2 linked regions of the Drosophila melanogaster genome follow. The protein of the gene in region 2 binds, or shares a complex with, the protein of the main gene of each other region. Each region holds a gene or a part of one and is shown on either strand. Other genes may lie near its edges.

Region 1 (5,537 bases), on a different chromosome or scaffold from region 2:
TCGGTGATCTGATTCACGCTTTTTAGAGTTTCCTGGGCAAAGCAGCTGGCATATCGTTTGTCGCCCACCACGACGTCCTCGGGAGTGGAGACCTGCAGCTTGTAGTTGGTGGCCGCTAAAGAAGCGCGCAGGGACATAAAGTGGTTGCCAGCATTGCCCAGAATCTGATTGTTGTAGTTTTCGGCTTCAGGATGGTTGCAAATGTATTCGTAACTGGGATTCTGGTTGGGAATCTTTTCGAACATCTCCAGGAGCTGTTGCCGTTGCTTTCGACACTTGAACCCGAAGAGTTCCAAATCTTCGTCGGTGAGAGAGGCCAAATCCAGATAGTTAATGTTCTCGGCAATAAGTTTGTCCACACAGGTGCTGGCGTAGTCCGTTTCCACGCTGGTAGAGCACAGTAGACCGTTGAGGATCTCCCTCTCCCGGCGTGTGTCCCTGTGAGCCTTTTGGCGAACCCAAGGACGTCGATTGTAGCCCAGGAAAGCACTGTCCAATTCCTTCTGCTCGGTGTGCGAGTGAAAGTTCTTTGTGGCCTCAAACTGAATGGTCGGCGGAACCTTGGCCATCGCCACCAAGGGGACATCCCCCGCGGACATTGTGTGCGTCTTCGTTGCCATAAACTCTGTCAATAATGGCAATTAAATTACCATTAAAATGCAATTGCGCTTAGATTAGATTCGCTGTTAAGAATCGGACGTTTACGAGCACTGCGAGTAGGGGTGGTCAAGATTCCTAACAGATTATGTTAAAAGTAACAGAAGTAGTAAGGGCTCTGTAAACATTTAAAACGTGAATATTAACAATTTAGTAATTTTATTTCCTTTTTCCTATTTCGCATTCTTGTACGAATCGAATTTTCTTCTAATGAATCACCCTACCCAACCAATTAAGATTAAATGCTTAACATTTGTATTTAAAAAGTATAACAAATTGATAAATTGATGACGATTAAGCTTCCTAACTATCCTATTTCTCGGACGATGACCTGTAGATTGGGGCACTGGTGGTGGACGCCTCCTGGAGCTTCTTCATAAACAGAGCCTTTCGCTGCTCATCCGCACTCAGTTTGGTACTTGAAACGGAGGCTTTGATGCGCTCTAACTTGTCGACGTTCGGCTCGGTTAACACCATTAGGCCGTACCCCATTCCTCCGAAGCCAATCAGCCACAAAACGGACTTAAAGTAGGGATTACTAAGCATTTTGGAAGCGGTCTCCTCTAGTCGCTTTTCTTCAAAGCACTCCAATAACTCGCATCCGCCTGTCGCACTGTGCTGTCTCCGACGATTTCACCAATTTTGTAGTAATAGTCCAAAACGAAGGGATAGTTCTCGTGAATATGCTGACGAAACTCTAGGAGCGGATTGTTATTAACGATCAAAATAATTATATAAATATCCTCCCACCTCGATTCGTGTTCATGCGATAATAAACGCCGTAGCTGGCTGCGAAGCAGACTGCCTCGAGGACAAACAGTGTTTTGGCACTTCCTTTGATGAATTTCCAAATTGCAGGTTTTGGTGTTTTGCGCAGCATTTTAAGTGGGAGTTGTAAATATTAAACACGTTTGCTTTCTTACAAAAAAAAAAGGAAAACAAAATCACCTACCAGCTTATCGATAAAACGAATTATCGAACTGGGCCAGTGCTGGCTAACATGCGGCCAACAGCTGGTCGACCGGCTAGTGTGTGTGCGCCTCTTCTTCTTGCCATGTAGTGCAGTGTTTATCTCACGTTTTTGTTTTTGCAAACTGATAACGCGACGCAATTTAGTCTGTAGTGAAAATTGTTTTTTTTTACATCGATGGAAAATCGGCCACGATGAGCGGCAATACACACGGACTCAGCTGGTTTCCACATTTTCCCGACAAATTCGTATCCTGGGGCCAGGAAATCCATTTATACGAAGTGCGCCGCAAAGATGATCACAGCCAAAAAAGTAGGGTTTTCCCCAAGGGATTATGCCACTTTACTTAACCGCCCCCCTTGCAGGTCGCCTGCCTTATATATCCGTGAACTACCTCGCCAACGAGTCGCGCTATCAATATGCCCGCTGCGTGGCCGCCTCCTACCACAGTGACCAGCCCATAATTGCAGTGGGTCTGGCGGATGGCAAAGTCGGGATTTGCAACTTCCGGGACACCTACGACAGCAGCTGGGAGTACAGTGGGTGGACGACAACGCCGATTCTTAGCTGCATCTAATAGTTCTTCATTTCTCGTAGCACCGCGTCAGCAGCGCATGTGCACCTGCCTCGCCTGGAACGAGCTGGATGCCAATATCCTGGCCATTGGACACGATCGCCATCGAAATGACACCTGCATCACCATCTGGGACATTGAGCGTGGAGTTCCCAAGGAGACGGCCAACTTCTTCGGCGTCGGCGAGTCGGCCAACTCCATTTGCTGGGATCGAAATCATCGCACGGTCATTGCGGGAATGAGCCAGAAGATGATAAAGCTGTTCGATCTGAGGCGTGAGTACACATAATGCGACTGGTTATATTTCAACTACGTAGTATTACTTTATTGCCCTTTCACTGATGAAATCTTTAAATCCCTTTCGCAGAGAGTAACGCCACCTGTCAAAGCATTCAAACAAAGACAGTGCAGGGACTTTCCGTATCCCCCAATGGCAACTATCTCTGCAGCTATGTGGACTCGGTGATCACTCTGTGGGATCCGCGAAATATCAAGAGTCCCCTCAGGCAGATTCAGTCCTCGAAAAACCATTTGCAGATCGCTTGGTGTCCGACCAGGACAAGCCTGCTTTCCTCGCTGCAACGCGATTCCTCCTACATCACTCTCTACGACATCCGGAGTGTGGACACGGACAATTCCGGAGAGATCTACCACGTAAAACGACAGATTAGCCCCTTTCCGGCTAGATACCAGCACAGTGGAAAGTTTTCGTTTGTTAATTGCCTGTCGTGGCATTCGAGGGATTTCGAGAGAGCTCTGCTTTTGGCAGATGCGCTGAACATCCTGGACTTTCGACTGCCAGCCACCTTGCACACGGCGCACAGCAATCGCCGGAAATTGCCACTTCTGATGCAGCGTCCGCTCTACACACCCGCCTCGCCGACTTCCACTGCGGCCACGCCCACTCAGCAGCAGCCCACGAGCAGCTGCAGCACGAATAGCGGGAGTTCCCTGGACTTTAGCACTCCTGGTGGTTCGCCCTTCAATGTGGACCTGCTGAAACCGGAACTCTTTGAGCTGGATCTGGTGGACGAGACGCGTCAGCGCGCTCTAGAGGATTACGGCATCAAACCCGATAACAAGCGATTCGGCGAACTCCACTTGACACCGTATCTGCGAAATGTGTGGTCCACTTTGAACAATGTCTACAGCGAGGATCGACTGACGGGCTTAAAGGCCACTTTGGGCATTAACTTGGGACACACCTCGGAGGCCTTGATGGCCAGCTCCCGCATTGAATCTCAGGTGCTCCAGTGGCCAGAGGGCATCAACAACTCCAACAAACTGATATGCTACAGGTAAGTTTATATGAATTTGTGGTTTGACGAGTGTGATAACCCCAATCTTTATGCAGGAGTGAGCAGCGCGACCTGGCCCTCCAACTTTGCGGTTGGGCCTTTGAGCAGGAGCTGGATCGCTTTATAGACCAGTTGTATGCAAACAAGGAGTACAGCCGGGCAGCCATGATCTGCGTGTTCCACTTGAAAATTTTCCATGCCTGCAACATCCTATCGTCGGCGGCGGACAACATGAGGGATCCCAGCATGTACAGGATCACCGTCATCGCCTTGTCCAGTTTCAATGCAGATCGCTGCAGTTCCACGTGGCGGAATCAGCGATCCAGCGCCAACATGCAGATACACGATCCACACTTAAGGGCTGTCTTCTCCTTTCTAACGATGGAGAAGGACAATTTTGATGCAGTGCTCAAAGAGGAAGGCGTTTCGTTATCAGACCGCATGGCCTTCGCCTGCAAATATCTATCGGAGACCAAGCTGGCTGACTATGTTGCGCAGCAAATCCAGGCGGCCATAGATGGTGGCGATCTAAATGGCTTGTTGCTCACTGGAGAGTCGCAGGACGGAATCGATATACTGCAGTCCTATATGGACACCAGCTTCGATGTGCAGGTGAGCGTGCGCTATAAAAACATATGTAGAAACTTTGATATACATTGAGCTGTTTCTTAGACGGTAGCCCTGGTGGCCATTAACTACTTCCGGCAAGAGCTTTTCGAGGACAAGCGCATCCAGTACTGGATCGCCAGCTACTTGGATCACCTCAATAGCTGGGGCTTGTGGGAGAAGCGGGCCGAGCTGGACATCAAGATCGAGAGCATCCGCCCATCCTCCCGCAGTTCCCGCACCGTATTTCTGTCGTGCAACTTTTGCGGCAAGTCTGTGTCCAACGCCTTGCTGGACGAGCCGCGTCCACGGAGCACCACCACCAGCACCAACAGGCTCTCCTCATGCCCCAGCTGCCGGAAACCCCTGCCCCGCTGCTCGCTCTGCCTAATGCACATGGGCACAATGGTGAACATGAGCAATGGGGAGACCCCGACCACCACGCCCGACGTGCCCGGCTGGCAGACCAAGCCCTTCTCAAAGTGGTTTTCCTGGTGTCAGACCTGTCGCCACGGCGGACACACCGAGCACATCATGCAGTGGTTCAAGTGAGTTCAAAGTTACCAATATTTAATTGAATTCTGACCAATGTACGCGTTTATTTGCCAGGCAAAATTCAGAGTGCCCCGTGTCGTCGTGCAACTGCCGCTGCTTCGACATGGACGGCACCAAGCCGAACACATTGAGAGACATTTCCTAGCTGTCCGGAGCACCCACCATACACAGCCCTTACTCGCCCAGGCCATATGCATATGCATTAAGTTGTTGATTTGTTCCAAACGCGTGCGCCTTAAACAAACTCAGAAGTGTTCATTGTACTTAGACAAGGGATGTGCCCGTAGCATTAGTGTTTATGACCTACCAGCTTTTAGCTGCTCAATTGCATTTTATACTTACATTCAAATAAAGGACTATGTGCGACAAATTACTATAGATATTTCTCAGCTTTTCTTTTGAAAGTTGAAACCGTTATAGTTTCGTGTTTTGCAACACTTTCAGGTAGTACTTATTAGCATTCTTGTTGGAACTGATAACGGTCACACCGCTTCGCACGTTTTTATGCGGCGTTATTATTTTTTGTTGCTTTCTGACGTAAATGTGCAGAAAAAGTGCTTCCACTCGTAGGGCTTAAGTGAATGGTTAATAACATTATGTGATAACGCCTGAACAAACAAATCAAGATATAGTGAATAGATTAAACCAAAAGACAGTGCCGATACACAAGATATAATATAAAGACGGTAAGTTGTGGGTGGGGGTACAAATTTCCATAAAGCATGTGAGTGCTACGGAATTTGAGCACAGCACTTTAACTGGCAGTTAAGATTAAATATTTGTACATGATAGCTTTGAAAATAGCGATATTTAGTTACTTGACCTTTTCAACTCATTCGTGTCTACACCTGAGGCTTTTGTCCAATCTGAGTGCCCG
Region 2 (5,562 bases):
GAAGCGCAATGCAACAAAACTAAAATTGGATTCTAAGAAAACATTAAATGCATATAGGCATTGCCAAAATTCCATTGCGCTGAGGGCATGATGGATTTTTGGACAGCGCTGGCTGGCGGTGGTGTCCTTGTGGACGGACGTGCTTGTCCACCCACCCGCGAGGACATACAATTAGATATTTAGTTAAAGACAACCGCAACATATGTTGCTCTCTGTTTTTAATCCCTACAGAACTCTCAATTTTATAATTTTTTCTCCCCTTTCTGCTACTGAATGTGCGGCTCGACCTCTCAACTCCAAGGTGGTTGTAATATTACCTTTTAAGAGCACCTTCATCAAGTAGCCCTAAGATTGAAACACTCGCATAACTGTTAAACTGTTATTAACACTAATCAACAATAGCGATTAAAACCCAATACGAATCTTTCAAAAACCTTTAATGATTGAAGAAATTCAATAAAGTGGACACTTTTTTCAAAAGCCCAGAATGTTTATAAACTTACTTGCATCAACAGACAACAGTTTTATTTTCCAATATTTCAAAAAAAGTTAAGTAACAAACATTTGTGCTATTTAAAGTTGCAGAAGATCGATTAAACCTGTCTGTTAATTTACTTCACAAACGTTGAGCTTATTTTACAAGTTTACATCTTCGAGCTACATTTATATAAAAATCTGTTTAGTGTCTAGTGCAAGGTACTTATTGGGCTTAAGTCTTCTCTATTTACAAGGCTCTCAAATGGGGGGCAAAAGCTGGGCAAACCCAGCCTCCTCCGCGTCTCATGAGTACGCGCAAAGGTGTCCGCACTTGGGGCACTTGGAGTGTTTGGCAAAGTACTTCTGCAGGTGCTCTATGTGACCGCCGTGGGAGCATCCTTGGCACCAGGCGTAGACTCCCCGGACGATCAGACCGCAGACGCAGCACTTGGCGGACTGCATGGACTTGCACTTGTCGCAGTACCATCCCACCTTGCCGCCCATTGGACGTCCACACTCTCCACAGTTCGTGTGCATGGCGGTCGAGTGCTGGTTGAGCTGCTGCACCGATCTCAGCCAGGAGCGGTTGATAACCTCGCAGGCCTCGTTCCACAGCTCATAGCGATGCAGCTGGTCCACGTAGGTGTAAAACCAGTGCTCCTGAAAAGGAAGAAAACCGGATGAATAACTCCGTTCTGATCCCAACTTTGTCTTTGAACTCACCACCAATGCATCGTCAATGGGCAGGAGCTTCCGAGCTTCTCCCAGCGCTATAAGGACTGTCAGAGCTGTTTGCACATCGCCCACATCGTTCATTAGCATGAGGGCATCGGAGACGAACTTATGCGGTTCCCACATGGGTATGGGCGGGACATGGCTGACTTTTAGGACAGTGGGAACATGCGGTGGCTAAAAAGAGGATGAATAAGTTAGTTAAGCTGTAAATACATCGAGTTCTCAATAATCTCAACTAACAGGTGACTTTTCGTGATCGGACGCCTTGAGATCCAGTTGTGGTCGTGCAGCCTGCACATCGTGATGAAGGGCGGGGAAGGCCAAAGCTTTCGGGCATTCTGTGGGACCCACGTAGATAAACCCATTGCGCAAGAGCTCAAAGTTGTCAAAGGTAATCTCGCTGATGATTTGCGTTTCGGACAGAATCACTGAGCTCGTAGGCGGATGCTCCACACCACTGCTGCCGAGCGTATCATCGTCCACATTCGCCACATCAATTTCGTGGGCTGTTTCCGGCGTGTTTCCATTGAGATCCTGGCCTAGTTCAGTTCGCTGCTGTGGCCAATCGCTGGCTACTTGCGTGGCACGTCGTGAGTTCATTGGATTCTTTTGATTCGAGAAGGAGGAGCGGTGCTCGAAGGGAGGCTCAAAGTGATTGCTGCCGTAGAACAATTTGATAAAGTTCCACAATGTGGTGGCCTGAAAAATGTAGATGCTAAGTTTTGGCAAATTTTGGGAATAATCTCAAGCGCTTACATTATGTTTGCCGTATTTCTTGGAAACCTCTGCATTGTGCTCGCATAACTCCGATAGTTTTTTCCCACTGATAACAAGTTCCCTGGCACAGCCAATAAAACTTTCGTGTTCTTGGGTGGGTCTTGAAACAGATTCGCTTAGGGGATAGCCGGAAAACTGAAATATATCAATTAGTATCAGATTTGGCAAAGAAATCCCTAATAGTGTCATACTAACCGTGTCGTTTACCATGAATTTGTACATTTTGGAATGGTCCAAATGGAACTGAATGCTGCCAGCCACATTCGTCTTACGGCGACTTCTAAAATACACATACATATAAACATACAAGTTGATACAACAAATACGACATACATGAAGCTAGAAGACTTGGTATTGGATGCACCGCTGGTCTTGGGTTCATACTCCTTGATCTTGTTGGCAAAGGAGATGTCCCCAAATCTGCCCAGGCTAGCTCCCTGGGCATTTGCCTTCAGCGCTGGCCTCGTGGCATCCTTAAAAGCATGTTTGTAAATGGTGGAGTCCTTGCTGATGGACAGAAGACAGTGCGAGTCGCTGCCCTGCCACGCAATTCCAGTAGTCACATTGGTGTGCTCGTTGAAGGAGGCAAAGGGGATGTAGGGTCTGCGGATGTCCCACACATGAACGCTGTAGTCCACCACAAGGGCACAACTAGCGATGTGATAACTGGAAAGGATTAAACAGATTTAATATAAATAAGACTGTTAAACCTGGCTAGAAAAACCTACGTTCTTTCTGGTCGCCACTTAACCCGTCCCACTACGGCGATTGTGTGAATGGTGTGCTCCAATCCCGGCCTGCCATCCATGTTCCACACCTTGATCTGCTTGTCCCGACTTCCGGTGGCCAGCCAATTCCTTGTGGGATGCCAGTCGCATGTGTAGACTGGCCCGTAGTGCGCCGTAAACTGCACCATGCACTTGTCCCACTTCCGCATGTCCCACAACTGGACAGTTCCATTCTCGGAGACGGCGGAGAATATGTTTTGTGTGTGTGGACTGAACTTGACATCCCGCACTGATTCCGAGTTGCAGAAGTAGGTGTTGATTGACTTATCCGATCGGATGTCGAAACACTTGATGGTGCCATCCTGAGAACCGGAGATCAGGATGTTGGGCTCGCTGCTGTGAAAGGTCACGGTATGAGCGGTGCGCTCATGTTCGTTGTAGACAAGCAGCTGCTTCTGCCTGCCGAACTTGGAGAGATCCCACACGGAAACCACTCCGTTCGTGGCCGCCGTAGCCAAAAGATTGCTATCCAAGGTGGACCAGGCCACATCGTTGGCGGAGTAGCTAAGATTCTGGTTCTTTCCGCGCATATTACACGATTCCGTGAAGCCATTGCTGTTTATGGAGTACACCTTAAGCACTGTTCGGAAGCAAATTATGTGTATTTATAGAAAGACCTTGGGCAATTCTAATCTTACAGCTTCTTCCGGCCAAAGCAATCTGGTTGTTGTCCTTATTCAGGGCCAGGGCGTTCGCGTGTCCTTCCAGGCATATCCGCAGCGAGATTGTGGAGGTGTCCTCCACGGAATCGGGCATCCTGCAGCAGTTGCAAGTTCGCCCGCAGAAAGCAAAACAGTGATTTGATAAGACAAGACGCTATCTTTTATTTTCCTTTCGGTTCAGTATGACCGTTTCTCGAGCGGCAAACCATTGGCGCGAGTGTTCCCAAATGCAGATGTTGAATATTGTTTGAACAAAAGACTTATTGTACTAAAGTTGTATTATTCACATATAATTAATGTATTCTATACATATACAGACAGAAACATTAATTTCAATTAAGCTATTAAATTCTTTGAAACTTCTTGGAACACTCCAATAAGATCTGCCAGTTGGAGCGCGTCGTTGCCGGACCATCCACACCGACGGAGTGGCAACGCCATTCGTGCGGCCTTGCTGTTTACAAAAATCACGGTCGACTTTTTCGACAATTTCATTTACCAGCGCAACAAGTGGCCGCAAGAAAGCAGGAGAGTGGAGCCGGGTGATCCTGATCCCTTCCAGAAATGCCGGACATCAAGATAACGCCCTTGGGCGCCGGCCAGGATGTGGGCCGCAGCTGTCTGCTGCTCTCGATGGGCGGGAAGAACATAATGCTCGACTGCGGGATGCATATGGGCTACAACGACGAGCGCCGCTTCCCGGACTTCTCCTACATAGTGCCGGAGGGTCCGATCACCAGCCACATTGACTGTGTGATCATCTCGCACTTCCACCTGGGTGAGTCTCGGCCTCCCAAAGGCGCTCTTATCTGGTCAACTGGCTCTAATCGTTTCTTTATCGATTGCATGCATTCCAGATCACTGCGGGGCCTTGCCCTACATGTCAGAGATTGTGGGCTACACGGGGCCCATCTACATGACGCATCCGACCAAGGCCATAGCACCCATCCTCCTGGAGGACATGCGGAAGGTGGCCGTAGAGCGGAAAGGCGAGTCGAACTTCTTTACCACCCAGATGATCAAGGACTGCATGAAGAAGGTGATTCCCGTCACACTTCACCAGAGTATGATGGTGGACACGGACCTTGAGATCAAAGCCTACTATGCAGGCCATGTCCTGGGCGCCGCCATGTTCTGGATCAAGGTGGGCTCCCAGAGCGTTGTCTACACGGGGGACTACAACATGACTCCAGACAGGCATCTGGGAGCCGCCTGGATAGACAAGTGCCGGCCGGACTTGCTGATCTCCGAGAGCACCTACGCCACTACCATTAGGGACTCGAAGCGGTGTCGCGAGAGGGACTTCCTCAAGAAAGTTCACGAGTGCGTGGCTAAGGGCGGCAAGGTTTTAATCCCTGTTTTTGCCCTGGGTCGCGCCCAGGAGCTGTGCATCCTGCTGGAGACGTACTGGGAGCGCATGAACCTCAAGTACCCCATATACTTTGCTCTGGGTCTTACCGAGAAGGCCAATACCTACTACAAAATGTTCATCACCTGGACGAACCAGAAGATCCGCAAGACCTTCGTTCACCGCAACATGTTCGACTTCAAGCACATCAAGCCCTTTGACAAGGCCTACATCGACAATCCTGGCGCGATGGTAGTGTTCGCCACGCCAGGCATGCTGCACGCAGGTCTTTCCCTGCAGATCTTCAAGAAGTGGGCGCCGAATGAGAACAACATGGTGATTATGCCCGGCTACTGTGTGCAGGGAACCGTGGGCAACAAGATTCTCGGTGGCGCCAAGAAGGTGGAGTTCGAGAACCGCCAGGTGGTCGAGGTCAAAATGGCCGTGGAGTACATGAGCTTCTCGGCCCATGCAGATGCCAAAGGTGGCTACAAGCTTAGCACTTTTATGCTGATACTAATTAATTTTCTGTATTGCAGGCATTATGCAGCTAATTCAGAACTGTGAGCCAAAGAACGTCATGCTCGTCCATGGTGAAGCAGGGAAGATGAAGTTCCTGCGCTCGAAGATCAAAGACGAATTCAACCTGGAAACCTACATGCCGGCCAACGGCGAAACCTGTGTGATTTCTACGCCTGTGAAGATACCAGTAGATGCGTCCGTTTCCCTGCTTAAAGCAGAGGCCCGGTCCTACAACGCCCAGCCACCGGATCCC

The links. Proteins that work in one complex are often made in the same cells at the same time.
Region 1: Wdr24 (region 2) and mio share a complex: the UniProt entries of both Drosophila melanogaster proteins name them as parts of the GATOR complex.

Annotation. Positions count from the first base shown.
Region 1 is NT_033779.5:2,215,606-2,221,142, forward strand, and holds mio (missing oocyte), read left to right. Parts: upstream 1-1,684; 5' UTR 1,685-1,821; coding exon 1,822-1,939; intron 1,940-1,992; coding exon 1,993-2,166; intron 2,167-2,224; coding exon 2,225-2,476; intron 2,477-2,568; coding exon 2,569-3,499; intron 3,500-3,555; coding exon 3,556-4,111; intron 4,112-4,171; coding exon 4,172-4,653; intron 4,654-4,714; coding exon 4,715-4,805; 3' UTR 4,806-5,020; downstream 5,021-5,537. Other genes in the region: daed (daedalus), read right to left, coding at 1-620; CG15386 (uncharacterized protein), read right to left, coding at 970-1,203; CG42371 (uncharacterized protein), read right to left, coding at 1,221-1,354, 1,408-1,537. UniProt on the Drosophila melanogaster protein: An essential component of the GATOR subcomplex GATOR2 which functions as an activator of the amino acid-sensing branch of the mTORC1 signaling pathway.
Region 2 is NT_033777.3:29,741,467-29,747,028, forward strand, and holds Wdr24 (WD repeat domain 24), read right to left. Parts: upstream 3,627-5,562; 5' UTR 3,534-3,626; coding exon 3,416-3,533; intron 3,358-3,415; coding exon 2,718-3,357; intron 2,656-2,717; coding exon 2,323-2,655; intron 2,270-2,322; coding exon 2,185-2,269; intron 2,125-2,184; coding exon 1,969-2,124; intron 1,912-1,968; coding exon 1,453-1,911; intron 1,387-1,452; coding exon 1,201-1,386; intron 1,138-1,200; coding exon 781-1,137; 3' UTR 506-780; downstream 1-505. Other genes in the region: Gnpnat (Glucosamine-phosphate N-acetyltransferase), read left to right, coding at 232-273; IntS11 (integrator 11), read left to right, coding at 4,004-4,217, 4,297-5,271, 5,327-5,562. UniProt on the Drosophila melanogaster protein: An essential component of the GATOR subcomplex GATOR2 which functions as an activator of the amino acid-sensing branch of the mTORC1 signaling pathway.